Linked DNA regions of Mus musculus. The protein of the gene in region 3 interacts with the protein of the main gene of each other region in a biochemical or structural test. Links are inferred from orthologs where the notes say so. Each region holds a gene or a part of one and is shown on either strand. Other genes may lie near its edges. The genes, in order: Atg7, Phb2 and Map1lc3a.

Region 1 (3,712 bases), on a different chromosome or scaffold from region 3:
TGTAGCCCAAGCTGGCCTTGACCAAGGCATGCAGCTGAAGATGGCTTTGTTCCTTGTCCATTTTCATGTGGTTGTGTTGTCCATGTATGTATATGCGTGTTTGCATTATGGGAGGGCACATGTGCACAGGGGTGCACATATGTGCACATTCTTGTGGAGGCCCAGGTTGAAGTTGGGAGTCATCCTCCATCACATTCCACCTTGTTCCATTGAAGCAGTCTCTCAATCAGACCCAGGACTCATCAATATTCCATATCATTAGTCTAGCTAGCCAGCTTGCTCTGCACAGCCAGCCTCTACCCTCCAAGGCTGAAATTACAGACAGGTCATCAAGCCCACCTGGTACTTATGAGGATTCTGGGTCGCTGATCCTTGTGTTTGCATGGCATGGGTAAGCCACTGAAACATTGCTCCAGGCCTCAACTTTTTTATTTGTTTAGACAAAGCCCCACTGTGAAGATCAGGATGGTCTCCAGTTCCTAAGGTACTGAGATGAAACGATTGTACAATTATGCCTATCAGAAGATTGATCTCTTGGTTTTTAAAGACAAGGTCTCTCTGAATAGCACTGGCTACCCCTGTAATTTATTCTGTAGATGAGGCTGGCCTTGAACTCGGAGATCCACCAGAGTGCTGGGATTAAAGGTGTGCACCACCACACCTAGCATGTGGAACTCTTAATCCTTCTTTCTCTGCTTTCTCTGCCTCAGCCTCTCAAGTGCTGAGATTAAGATAATCACTACCAGCCGGGTGTGGTGGTGCACGCCTTTAATCCCAGCACTCCGGAGGCAGAGGCAGGCGGATTTCTGAATTCGAGGCCAACCTGGTCTACAGAGTGAGTTCTAGGACAGCCAGGGCTACACAGAAAACCCTGTCTTGAAAAACAAAAACAAAAAAAAAAAAAAAAAAAAAGATAATCACTACCACCTCATTTAAAGTGTACAATTCACTGACACTTAACTTACAAATAAAGCCTGGTACATAATAGGCATTCGCATGTGTCTTTTATTTGGTATTCAAGTATGCCATTTACTTGGTATATCTATGCATATTTGTTAAACATATATACCAGACACTGCTTTGTATGTTAGGATTTAATAATATAAAAGTCTTGTATCACAGTAGAACTGACTATAAAGAACTAAGTGCATTTAGCTACAGAGGAGAGAGGAAGGCAGTCTAGCAGTTTTCAAAGATACACATGGGGCAACTAAAAGCAAGTATGACTCTAATTGGGCAATGGGCTGTGACTGCAAGCCACAGTCCTTAACTCCTCACATGACTTTTTTGAGTAAGAACTGGGTGGAGGCAAGCTGGAAGCAACAGGAAGTCATGAGCTTTCACAAACCAAGGCCAAAAAAAAAAAATAAATAAAATAAAATAAAATAAAAAATAAACAAATAAACAGTCTATGGGAAAGGAAAAGCCCGAGGCAGAGCCCTCAAGTCTACAAGGCAGACAGGTCTGTTTACCAGTTACATGGGTTTTAAAAAAAGAAAGACAAAGTCAAACCAACATAAAAAGCCACCAAATTAGCACGTTTGAAAGGGAAAGCACATTTGTGACCAGGATTTATAAATAGGATGCCTGATATGGGAGTGAAGCTCTGAGGTGATGATAGAGTATTTGCTGTCAATATGACTCCAAAGTCTCTTTTTTTTTCCCCAGGAACCACTTTCCATTTGTTTACCCCTGTTTCCCCCCTGTATAAGCTATAAGGCACACACACACACACACACACACACACACACACACACACACACACCGTCTTGTAATTTATCCATTAGAAATAGGAAACCCTGGATGTAAAAAAAAAAAAAAAATCAATAAATAGTCCATGATATTATGATGCCCAGCATGCAGGAACACATCAGAAAAACAGGCGTAGTGGTACACACCTGTAATCCCAGGACTCAAGGAGGTGGAAGTAGAAATATAAAAACTCAAAGGCCGGCCTCTGCTTCACTGAGTGTTCAAAGACAGCATGGGGTGCATGGCATTCAGTCTTAAAAAAATAAATTAATTTATACTGGAAAGCTGACTCGACTCAGTGCTTACAAAGACCTGGGTAGGGTTTCCAGCACCCATATCAGGCACAGCTTGCCTGGAGCTCCACTTCTGCTGGGGTCCGCCATGTCTTGTCTCTGGAGGCATGAGACCACACACGCATACACGCACTCAAAGTTACAAATAATTTTAAAGAATTAAATAAAATTGCAGACGCAGGTTGATTCGGTCTCATCTCAAATTCAATTTGGCATGTGCTGGTAATTGAACCCAGGACCCTGGAACGCTGAAGAACCGCTCTGGGACTTAACTACATCCCACACCCGTTTTCCAGTTTGCAAAAGGGTTTGTGTCCGATTGCCTAGGCTGGTTCTAAATAGCAGTTCTCTTGGCTCAGGTTCCCTGCGGCTGGGGTCACCTCTCTCCGCGACCATGCCTGGCTCAGAAACTTTCTGACAAGTGCATTTGCCTCACCAGGCTGATTTCCTATAAAGTACTAATTTGTAATCTCTGGGTCCTTTAAGGGGATGCAGAACCTCTAGTAGAAAAGATTTAATTATGTCCTCCTCATAAGTAACAAGATCAAGTCCCTTCACAGTCCGGGGACACAAGCTTACTCCGTGGCCGGTCCACACACGCCAAAGGCAGCACTTCACAGAATGAGCAACCAGAGGCGCCTCCCGACCCGGAGATCGCAACACTCTCTGCCGGAGTACGAGGGGACCGAGTATAGACAGGTGAAGAATATTCCAGACCAGCCCAAAACTGGCTTCAGCTTTCCTAAGTGAACCCCGCCAGCCCCGGCAGCTGCTCCGCAACCACGGCTTACTTACCGCCGCTCAACTTCCGGCAACCACAGCCCCAGCCGCGCCGCGCGGCCCAATGACGTAATAACCCAGCCCACACAAACGCGGAAGCGCGGCGCGCATGCGCACTACAACAACAACGACAAAAAGGGTCCCCACAACCGCAATAACGGGGCGAAACTAAGGCTAACCTGTAAGCCTTTTGGGGCTTGTAAGGAAGATTACATTTTCCTGCGAGTGACTCTACAGTACTACGGAATTATTATCAAATTCCCAGGGTAGTACTAGAGTACAGGTGTTGAAACAAGGTTTATTTTTATTTTTTGCATTTTTAATTTTTTAAAAAGGTTATGTCCTCCTCATATTTACACTACATAGCCATGGCTGTTCTGGACCTGTATACATATACATCAGTCTAGTCTCGAACTAACAGAGATTGCTTACCTTTGCTTTGCCCCAGTGCTGGGATTAAAAGCTTGCCCAACCAAATATAACTCTGGAAAACCAAATAGAATCTAAAATATCCACCAAGCTACTGCAGCCAGCAACTTCAGTGACTATAAAATCACTTCTTAAGAACCTAATATGGGCCAGACGGTGTGGGATATGTCTTAAATTCCAGCATTTGGGCTGGGCGTGGTGGCACAAGATTTTAATCCCAGCCCTCAGGAGGCAGAGGCAGGCAGATTTCTGAGTTCAAGGCCAGCCTGGTCTACAAAGTGAGTTCCAGGACAGCCAGAGTTATACAGAGAAACCCTGTCTCGAAAAACAAAACAAAACAAAACAAAACAAAAAATCCAGCATTTGGGAGGCAGAGGTAGGTGGATCTGTGAGTAGTGAGTTCTGGGACAGCCAGGGCTACACTATCTCAAACAAAACAAACAAACAAATAAAACGAA
Region 2 (3,746 bases), on a different chromosome or scaffold from region 3:
AGCTCTCTTCGGATCAACAGGGACACCTGGGGGCATGGGTCGGGAGGGGAAGGGAGGCTTGGTTTGAGGGGATCAGAGAACTGGAAGGAAGGTGGTGGCATTGCTGTAACCATCTGAACACCGGAGCTCCTGAATATGGGCAGCAAACCCACCACTTAAGTCCTCAAACATTCACTAGAAAAAACTTGGTTCCATTTCTTCCTGTGACAGCCGTGGCATCACCAGACTGCCCCACATCACACTGAGACCTAATCTCTTCTTTTCAGTTTATGCATCTCTTTAGTTTCCAGTTAACGGAGGAAGACCTTCTGTGGAGATGTAAGGCAATACTGCCACTTTCTGTACTATGCTTCCTTCTTAGGGTCGACTGGTGTCAGGTTCTACCGTTTTTCTCCTCATTTCCCACAGTCACAGCACAGCTTTCCCACAGTCCATGCAGCTAAGGATAACCTTAAACCCCTGATCCCCTTGCCTCTACCTCGAGTGCTAGGATTACAGGCATGTGCCACACCTGGTTTAAGCAATGCTTGAGAATAAAACCAGGGCTTGTGCATGTTAGGCAAGTACATATCAACTGAACTACAGATCCGTCCCACCCCATCCCGAAATACCTTCTTTCAGTACCCAGTAACCCTGACCAAGGAGAGACACAGGCTGCCGCCGTGCAGACAGTGATAGGAGTCAGACCTGAGCCCGCTGGGTGATCAGCTGCGAGGCATTGAACTTGGCCACCACACTCTTGAGCACCTCATTAACAATGGACGGCAGCACTCGCTCCTCATAGTCCAGCCCTAGACGCTGGTACATGCTGGGGAGCTCCTGGGCATTGGGTCGGGACAGCACACGCAGGGAGATGTTCACCATCTGCAGGTCTGAGGGAAGAGGTCAGCAGTGGCCGCCGGGTAAGGCCAAATTCCCCCTTTTCCAGCGCTTTCTCCTAGGAGTGCTTCCCACCATGCCTAGTGTTACTGTACAGCCTAGCACTCCAGCAGGAAGATAGTCATGTCAACACAGAGCATGTGAACAACATGGATGGGCGAGGCAGACCCTTGTTTACTGTGGAATCTTTTCTATGGACCTTCCACCAGTACAGCTATTTTTTTTTTTTTTTAATAAATTGCTACTCCTCCTCCAAAGTGGATTCCACCAAGCAGCATAATCTTGGGTTTCCCCCTTGCCATTAGGGCCTTGAGAACCAGAACTGTGTTTTATTTCCAAGGCCTATGGCTTAGCAAACGCATAAACCACACACACCACAAACAGCAACAGAGAAGCACACTTCTGTGGGCTACTTGCCTCGGTGTGTACATGGGAATGAGGCCCAGGCTTGGGGAATCTCAAAGGCAGGCCTTCTAACTATGGTCTACAGGGCAACAGCTAGTGAAGAGTGGGGGCACTTTCTCCAGAGCAAGGTGTACTGTGGATGTAATCAACAAATCAACAGAAAAAAAAAAAGGCCTTAAAAACAGACTTGGACCTAGGCAGCCAGGAAGAAAGGCAACTCTTATCCCTTTTATGCTAGGCAGAAGGTAACGTTAAAACGTGCATGCATGCCAAGTACTGGAATGCACCGTTTTTTGAACCGTGAGGCATGGCTCTTTTGCAGACGTAGAAACCAAGACCTCAGAAACACAACCAATTCTGGCAGCCTGGCCAGGCTCATTTTACATTTGTTTCCCCACGTGCCCTGAGGCTCCCAGTTGCCCACGTTTACCTTTGGAGCCTGTGGGGGAGGAGATTTTTCGAGGTCTGGCCCGAATGTCATAGATGATGGGGTACTGGAACCAGGGGATCCTGGAGAGGAGAGGTCATGGACAGGAGTTGGGAAACTGCAGTTTTATTGATTTTGATGGTTCCCCTCACCACTCGTCCTTGGGCCTGTTCCTCCCCACGACCACAAGGACTCTTCCCAGTCGAGAACAGCCCTTTATGCATTGCTGGAGTTTCAGGCAGCCACTGTCCTCAAGAGCAGGCGTGAGGAAGGGGTAAAGCAGCTCCGAATTGTTAAGTCTGGCTGCAGCCGTCAAGGGTGAAGGGTCAGGGCCTGTTCGCTCTGCCCGCCATTACCTGAAGTGAAGGCCTTCGGCCAGGATCGTGTCCTGCTGCACGCCACCAATACGATTAAAAAAGATGGCTCTATGACCGCCTTCCACTGCGGAGAGAGGGGTGGGAGTCAGGGCAGGCTACTGGCCCGAGTGCTGGTCAGCGTAGGTGGGACGGGGACACCTGGGGGATAGCAGGACCGTGGGTCTGGGGACCGCAACGTCCGGCCAGCGGAAGGAGGCTGCTCACCGGTGAACACGGATTCGCGGACGCCGTAGGCCACCGCCCCGGCCCCCAGCAGCAGCTTCAGCGCCGTGCCCATGCCCCGAGGCCCGGCGGGCAGGCGTCCAGCTAAGTCCTTCAAGTTCTGGGCCATGTCTGATCCTCCCGAAGGCGGCGGCGGCGGCACCAGCGGTCAGGAGGGGGTGCCCGCCAGCCTCTGCCCCGCTCCAGCTTACAGACCTCGCCTTGCACACGAGGATCGGCGGCCTTAGAGCTCGCGGGAGAAAGGGCACCGGAAGTGCGCCTCCCTCCGGACCCGCCCCCCTCCGCCCGGGCGGCCCTGAACTCCGCGCACAGGAATGGCGCATCCGGAAGTCCCGCCTCTTGGTGGGGGGGAATGGTGTGCCCTCCCGGAGAGGCTTCCGTACGGGCATCGCCATTTTCGAGCGCCCTCTTTCAAAATGGCAGCTCGAAGGAAGTTGGCCGTGAGGACGGACGTGAAGTTCTAACTTAAGGACTTCGGTGCAACTTCCGGTCTGCCTACAAGATGTCTGCGGCCAGTGGTGGCTTCCAACCTCGTGAGCGGCGATTTTCAGTGCAGGAGCAGGACTGGGAGACTACGCCGCCTAAGAAGCTCCGGCTTGGGGCAGGAAGCAAGTGCGGAGGCCGGAGGCTCATTGTGGTGCTGGAAGGGGCCAGTCTGGAGACAGTCAAGGTAGTTTTGAACAGTGAGTGCGGAGGTAGGGAATTGATGGATCAGATTGTGTGGGAACCAGGGCCGCAGAGTGCATGGAAAAGCGGAGCCTTGAAATTTGCTCTGGAAGAATGACCTAGTTTTCCAGGCTGTTGATATCCTGGGGGTAGTCCTTTTGCTCTGGACTTTCATTTCAGCCCTCGCCTTGCTTTTAGTTGACTTATCACGGAGTCTGTGATGTATAATGCAAAATGAGGGAAGCATTGTCTATTGAGGGTTCCCACGTTTCCAAAGGCCAGTGACTTCCCCAGCCTTTTACTACCAAGGACTTGATGCTTTATTTTGTTAAATGGGGCTTGACTGGCAGCTTGTTCTGTATTTACCTATTCTGAAGTATGTCTGGATCAGATTATTTAAAAAGCCTTTGTCTTTGCTTTTTTACCCTCCCCCTTAAATATTTACTTTACCTTTATTTATGCATGCAAGTCTGCATGTGGCCATGAGCCACCTCATGAAGGTGCTAGGAACCTAACTTGAGTCTTATACAAGAAAGTTTGTGCCATCTCTCCAGCCCCCTCCTTCCTTCCTTCTTTCTTTCTTTTTTTCTTTTTGTTTTTTTGAGACAGGGTTACTCTGTATAGCCCTGGCTGTCCTGGAACTCACTTTAGACCACGATGGCCTCAAACTCAGAAATCTGCCTGCCTCTGCCTCCCGAGTGCTGGGATTAAAGGCGTGCGCCACCACCGCCCGGCTCCTTCCTTCTTTTGTATGTCTTGCCTTTCAGAGC
Region 3 (3,725 bases):
ATGCCTTCCTGCGGCGGGAGTATTACCTCACACACGGCCTCTACTTGACTGCCAAGGACGGCACTGAGGCCATGCTTGTGCTCAAGTAGCCCTGGCTGGCACAGCGCTGCATGGACAAGAGGGGGAAGGGCCAGAAGCTGGGCCAGGTCCCTCATCCAGAGTTGCCAGCAGGCGCGTCCTCAGGCAGAAGAAGTTCAAGTCCAGGGTCACAAATCTCTGGCACCAAAGGGGACTCATAGCTGGCAACAAGGCCCATGGGGAGAAGCTAGGAGCACCCCACTTGGACCCCCACTTTGTGACTGTGCACAGAAAGGAAGCAGCCGGTGAGCAGGGCTTTATAGGTTGTGACTACTTAATAAATGTGTGGATCTTTTTTTTTTCATTGTTGTTCTGATGACATGTATTCCTGGAGTGGAGTGAGCTTGGCCCCCTAATACTACGTGCTATCCTGTACTAAGGAGTGGGTTTCTGGGAACACGCGTCTGTCTCTGTGTGTGAACACAGTCACCTAGCAGCCCTCCCTGCTCCCAAACAAGCAGCTGGAGGCAAAGGGCCAGGCAGGCCTGAGCAGTCTTTATTCTTTCTGCAGAGGAAATGACCACAGATCCATACACCGAGTCAGGACAAGGGGAGCCAGCCTTTCAGGGGTGGGGCAGGTCCTGGCAGGAGGCAAAGCCTCAGGTGGATGAGGGGCAAGATGGGCAGACAGGCAAGGGCCTAACAAAATGACAAACCCCACAGAGCAGGGATGCTGCTCCCCACCCACTCCCAACCCAGCCAGCACCCAAAAGAGCAACCCGAACATGACTGGCCCAGGACCTACCCAGGATGTGGTAGGCTGGCTGGTGGCCCCTACCTGGGGGGGGGAGTGGGTGTCACATCTCTGCCTAATCCACTGGGGACTGAAATAGCTTAGTTTAGGAGCCAGGACCTCCCTGGGGAGAACCTGACCAGAACTCCCAGCCACCCCCCTCCCCTCCTCTTGACTCAGAAGCCGAAGGTTTCTTGGGAGGCGTAGACCATGTAGAGGAATCCGTCTTCATCCTTCTCCTGTTCATAGATGTCAGCGATGGGTGTGGAGACGCTCACCATGCTGTGCTGGTTGACCAGCAGGAAGAAGGCCTGCGTGGGGTTGAGTTGCAGGCGGCGCCTGTGGAGGCAGGCAGGCATGCCAGGTGAGGAGGCTGCCTGCTGGAGGCCTAGGTGACCCTCCCAAAATGTTACTGAACCTTCACTTTCGGTCCATCTCAGCCAGAGGCTCTCACCTCTACTGAAGCTCGTCCCAACCCCGACCTTGGTCTTTTCCAGCCTCCTAGAACAGGGGCCCGGTGTCCCAAATCAGTCCCCTCGCCCCACTCCATCCCTTCTTGTGGAACCTGACCCTGCCCCACCCAAGGCCTGTAGGAGGCTGCCCACGCACCGGATGATCTTGACCAACTCGCTCATGTTAACATGGTCTGGGACCAGAAACTTGGTCTTATCCAGGACAGGCAGCTGCTTCTCACCCTTGTAGCGCTCGATGATCACCTGGAGTGGAGTGGGCGGGGGACTCGTAAGCCAAGGGCGGGACCTGGCAGGGCAGGGCGTGGCTGGGGGGTGCTAGAGACTCACCGGGATCTTACTGGGGTGCTGGTCGCGGATCTGCTGCACCTCCTTACAGCGGTCGGCTGCGGACAGAGCTCTGTGTGAGGCCCAGCGGTGCTGAGGCCTCCCGCGACTCCGCCTCGCTGATCCCCGAGGGGCGGCTCCCGGCCCGCCCCGCCCCAGCGCCCGCCCCCGGGGCCGTCGGCCCCGCAGCCCTCCACCGGGGGGACGCGGTAGGGAGGCGGGCGACCCTGCCAGGCCTTGCGGCCTCTCCACCCGGGGTCCGGCCGGCCGGTGCCTGACGTCATGGGGCTGACGTCACCTGCGGCAATCGGGGTCGACTGGCACCCCCATCCCTCGATCCCCGATGGCAGTTCGCCCCCCAGGGCCTCACCGAAGCTGCGCCGCTGCTTGAAAGGCCGGTCGGAGGGCATCGCGCGGGCCCGGCGGGGCGCGCAGCCGGGGCTCCGGGGTGCGCGGCTCAGAGATGCGTCTGCGGTTCGGCGCGCCGGGGGCTCCGGGGCTCGAGCTCAAGGGCTGCGGGGCTCGCGCTGAGCCTGGCGGTGGCGGCTGCGGGAGGTAACTCGCCTGGGTGACGTCAGGTCACAACATTCCTTAAAGGGGAGGCCGGCGCGCCGCTCCCATTGGGCCGACGGAAAACCCGCCTGCCTGGACCTGTGACGCCACGGCGCAGACAGCCCGGATTCCCGGCGCAGGTCGTAAGGAGGCGGAGCTCCAGGGCGCGTCACAGTTCTGTGACGTCACGATGGCAAGCTCCTCTCTTTGGCGCCACAGACTCAGAAGCCAGGCATTTGTCGCCTCCATCCAGTCTCTCGACGCTGCGGAGTAGTTCACCGCACCTTCATCGAGTTTAGCATTCGAGAAGGAAGGTGGAGCGGGGAGAGGATGGAACACCCAGAGTTTTAAAATTTTTAATGTGTCTGTAAGTGTATGCCCGCGGATGCAGAACATAGCATCGGATTTCCTTAGGCTGGAGTTAATCGCACTGCTGGGAATCAAGCTTAGGTCCTCTGAAATAATAGCAAGGGCTCTTAATTGTCGAACCATTGCTCCAGACCCCCCACCCAGGCTTTCAAAGAATTCTGGAACAACCATAGAAAGCATAGATTTCCAGAGTGAGGTTGGTTAATAGGTGGTTTAGATAAAGCAGGAGAGAATCGCTGAATGGGGGGGCTATATCAGAAGTGGTTAACCATGAGATGGAGAACATTCGGAACTGACAACACGCGAAGTCAGATTTTACAGGTAGAGCCCCTTGGTAGGATAGAAAGAAGTATGGTCTGGGAATGTTACCGAGGGTCAGGGTAGGATACTTGCCTAGCAGATGGAAGGCTTAAGTTCAGTATCTCAGGTTTTGCGGGAGGTGGAGGGGATAGAGGGACTGGACGGACACGGAGAGGCGGCCCCTTGAAGAACTTTAAAAATCGATTGAAAGCCAGAATCAATGCCAGATGTAGCTGGCTCTCATTTGTAGTCCTAGCTCTATGGGAGTTTGAGGCAGGAGGATGGGCTAGAGTTGAAGTAAGGAAGAAAAAAGATAAAACAAAAGAATTTACAAAGGACCATTGTTTGAAAAAAAAAGTTAGTTTGTACTTCAGAAACATACAGCTCAAAGGGAAGAAATTTGATGGGAACCAAGTTAACAGATGCACGCTTGAGTAATTCTAAACAACTGCTTATGGACAGAAATGGTAGTGATTGGTACAAAAACAAGCTGCTAAGGTAACAAGAATTCAGCTGAGATTGCCTTAAAGAGGCTGGGTGGCGGTGCCTCCTTAACCCCAGCTCTGTGGGCAGAGACGGGATGGTCTCTTGAGTTCAAGGCCAGCCTGGTCTAGATAGTGAGACCTTGTGTTTTGGGTTTTGTTTTGCTTTTTAAATGTCTTAGGGAGCTGGATTTGTTTGGAAAGATATTATTGTCTGCTTGGTCAGGTAGGGTGCTTGCCCGCAAGCATGAGGATGTGGGTTCAATTTTCGGAATATGTTAGATCCTAGAGGCTCCACCTACAAAGGGATTCAACCAGGCCTTATATCCCATCTCTACCTTCTCCAGGCAGCTCAATGCCTGGTATGTGGCAGCCCCAAATTAGGGTGGGGCGGTAGGATTACTTCCCTAAATT

What was found.
Region 1: the proteins of Map1lc3a (region 3) and Atg7 form a complex in vitro, tested with the Homo sapiens proteins (2 studies listed by BioGRID, with this or other methods). The link is inferred for Mus musculus from reciprocal best matches to the Homo sapiens genes MAP1LC3A and ATG7.
Region 2: the proteins of Map1lc3a (region 3) and Phb2 form a complex in vitro, tested with the Homo sapiens proteins (2 studies listed by BioGRID). The link is inferred for Mus musculus from reciprocal best matches to the Homo sapiens genes MAP1LC3A and PHB2.

What each region holds. Positions count from the first base shown.
Region 1 is NC_000072.6:114,642,279-114,645,990, reverse strand, and holds the start of Atg7 (ubiquitin-like modifier-activating enzyme ATG7), read right to left. Parts: upstream 2,865-3,712; 5' UTR 2,841-2,864; intron 1-2,840. UniProt on the Homo sapiens protein: E1-like activating enzyme involved in the 2 ubiquitin-like systems required for cytoplasm to vacuole transport (Cvt) and autophagy.
Region 2 is NC_000072.6:124,711,110-124,714,855, reverse strand, and holds the start of Phb2 (prohibitin-2), read right to left. Parts: upstream 2,568-3,746; 5' UTR 2,420-2,567; coding exon 2,293-2,419; intron 2,153-2,292; coding exon 2,068-2,152; intron 1,795-2,067; coding exon 1,715-1,794; intron 873-1,714; coding exon 688-872; intron 27-687; coding exon 1-26. Other genes in the region: Emg1 (ribosomal RNA small subunit methyltransferase NEP1), read left to right, coding at 2,813-2,980.
Region 3 is NC_000068.7:155,274,900-155,278,624, reverse strand, and holds Map1lc3a (microtubule-associated proteins 1A/1B light chain 3A), read right to left. Parts: upstream 2,262-3,725; 5' UTR 2,019-2,261; coding exon 1,979-2,018; intron 1,668-1,978; coding exon 1,612-1,667; intron 1,528-1,611; coding exon 1,421-1,527; intron 1,151-1,420; coding exon 988-1,150; 3' UTR 552-987; downstream 1-551. Other genes in the region: Pigu (phosphatidylinositol glycan anchor biosynthesis class U protein precursor), read left to right, coding at 1-89. UniProt on the Homo sapiens protein: Ubiquitin-like modifier involved in formation of autophagosomal vacuoles (autophagosomes). While LC3s are involved in elongation of the phagophore membrane, the GABARAP/GATE-16 subfamily is essential for a later stage in autophagosome maturation.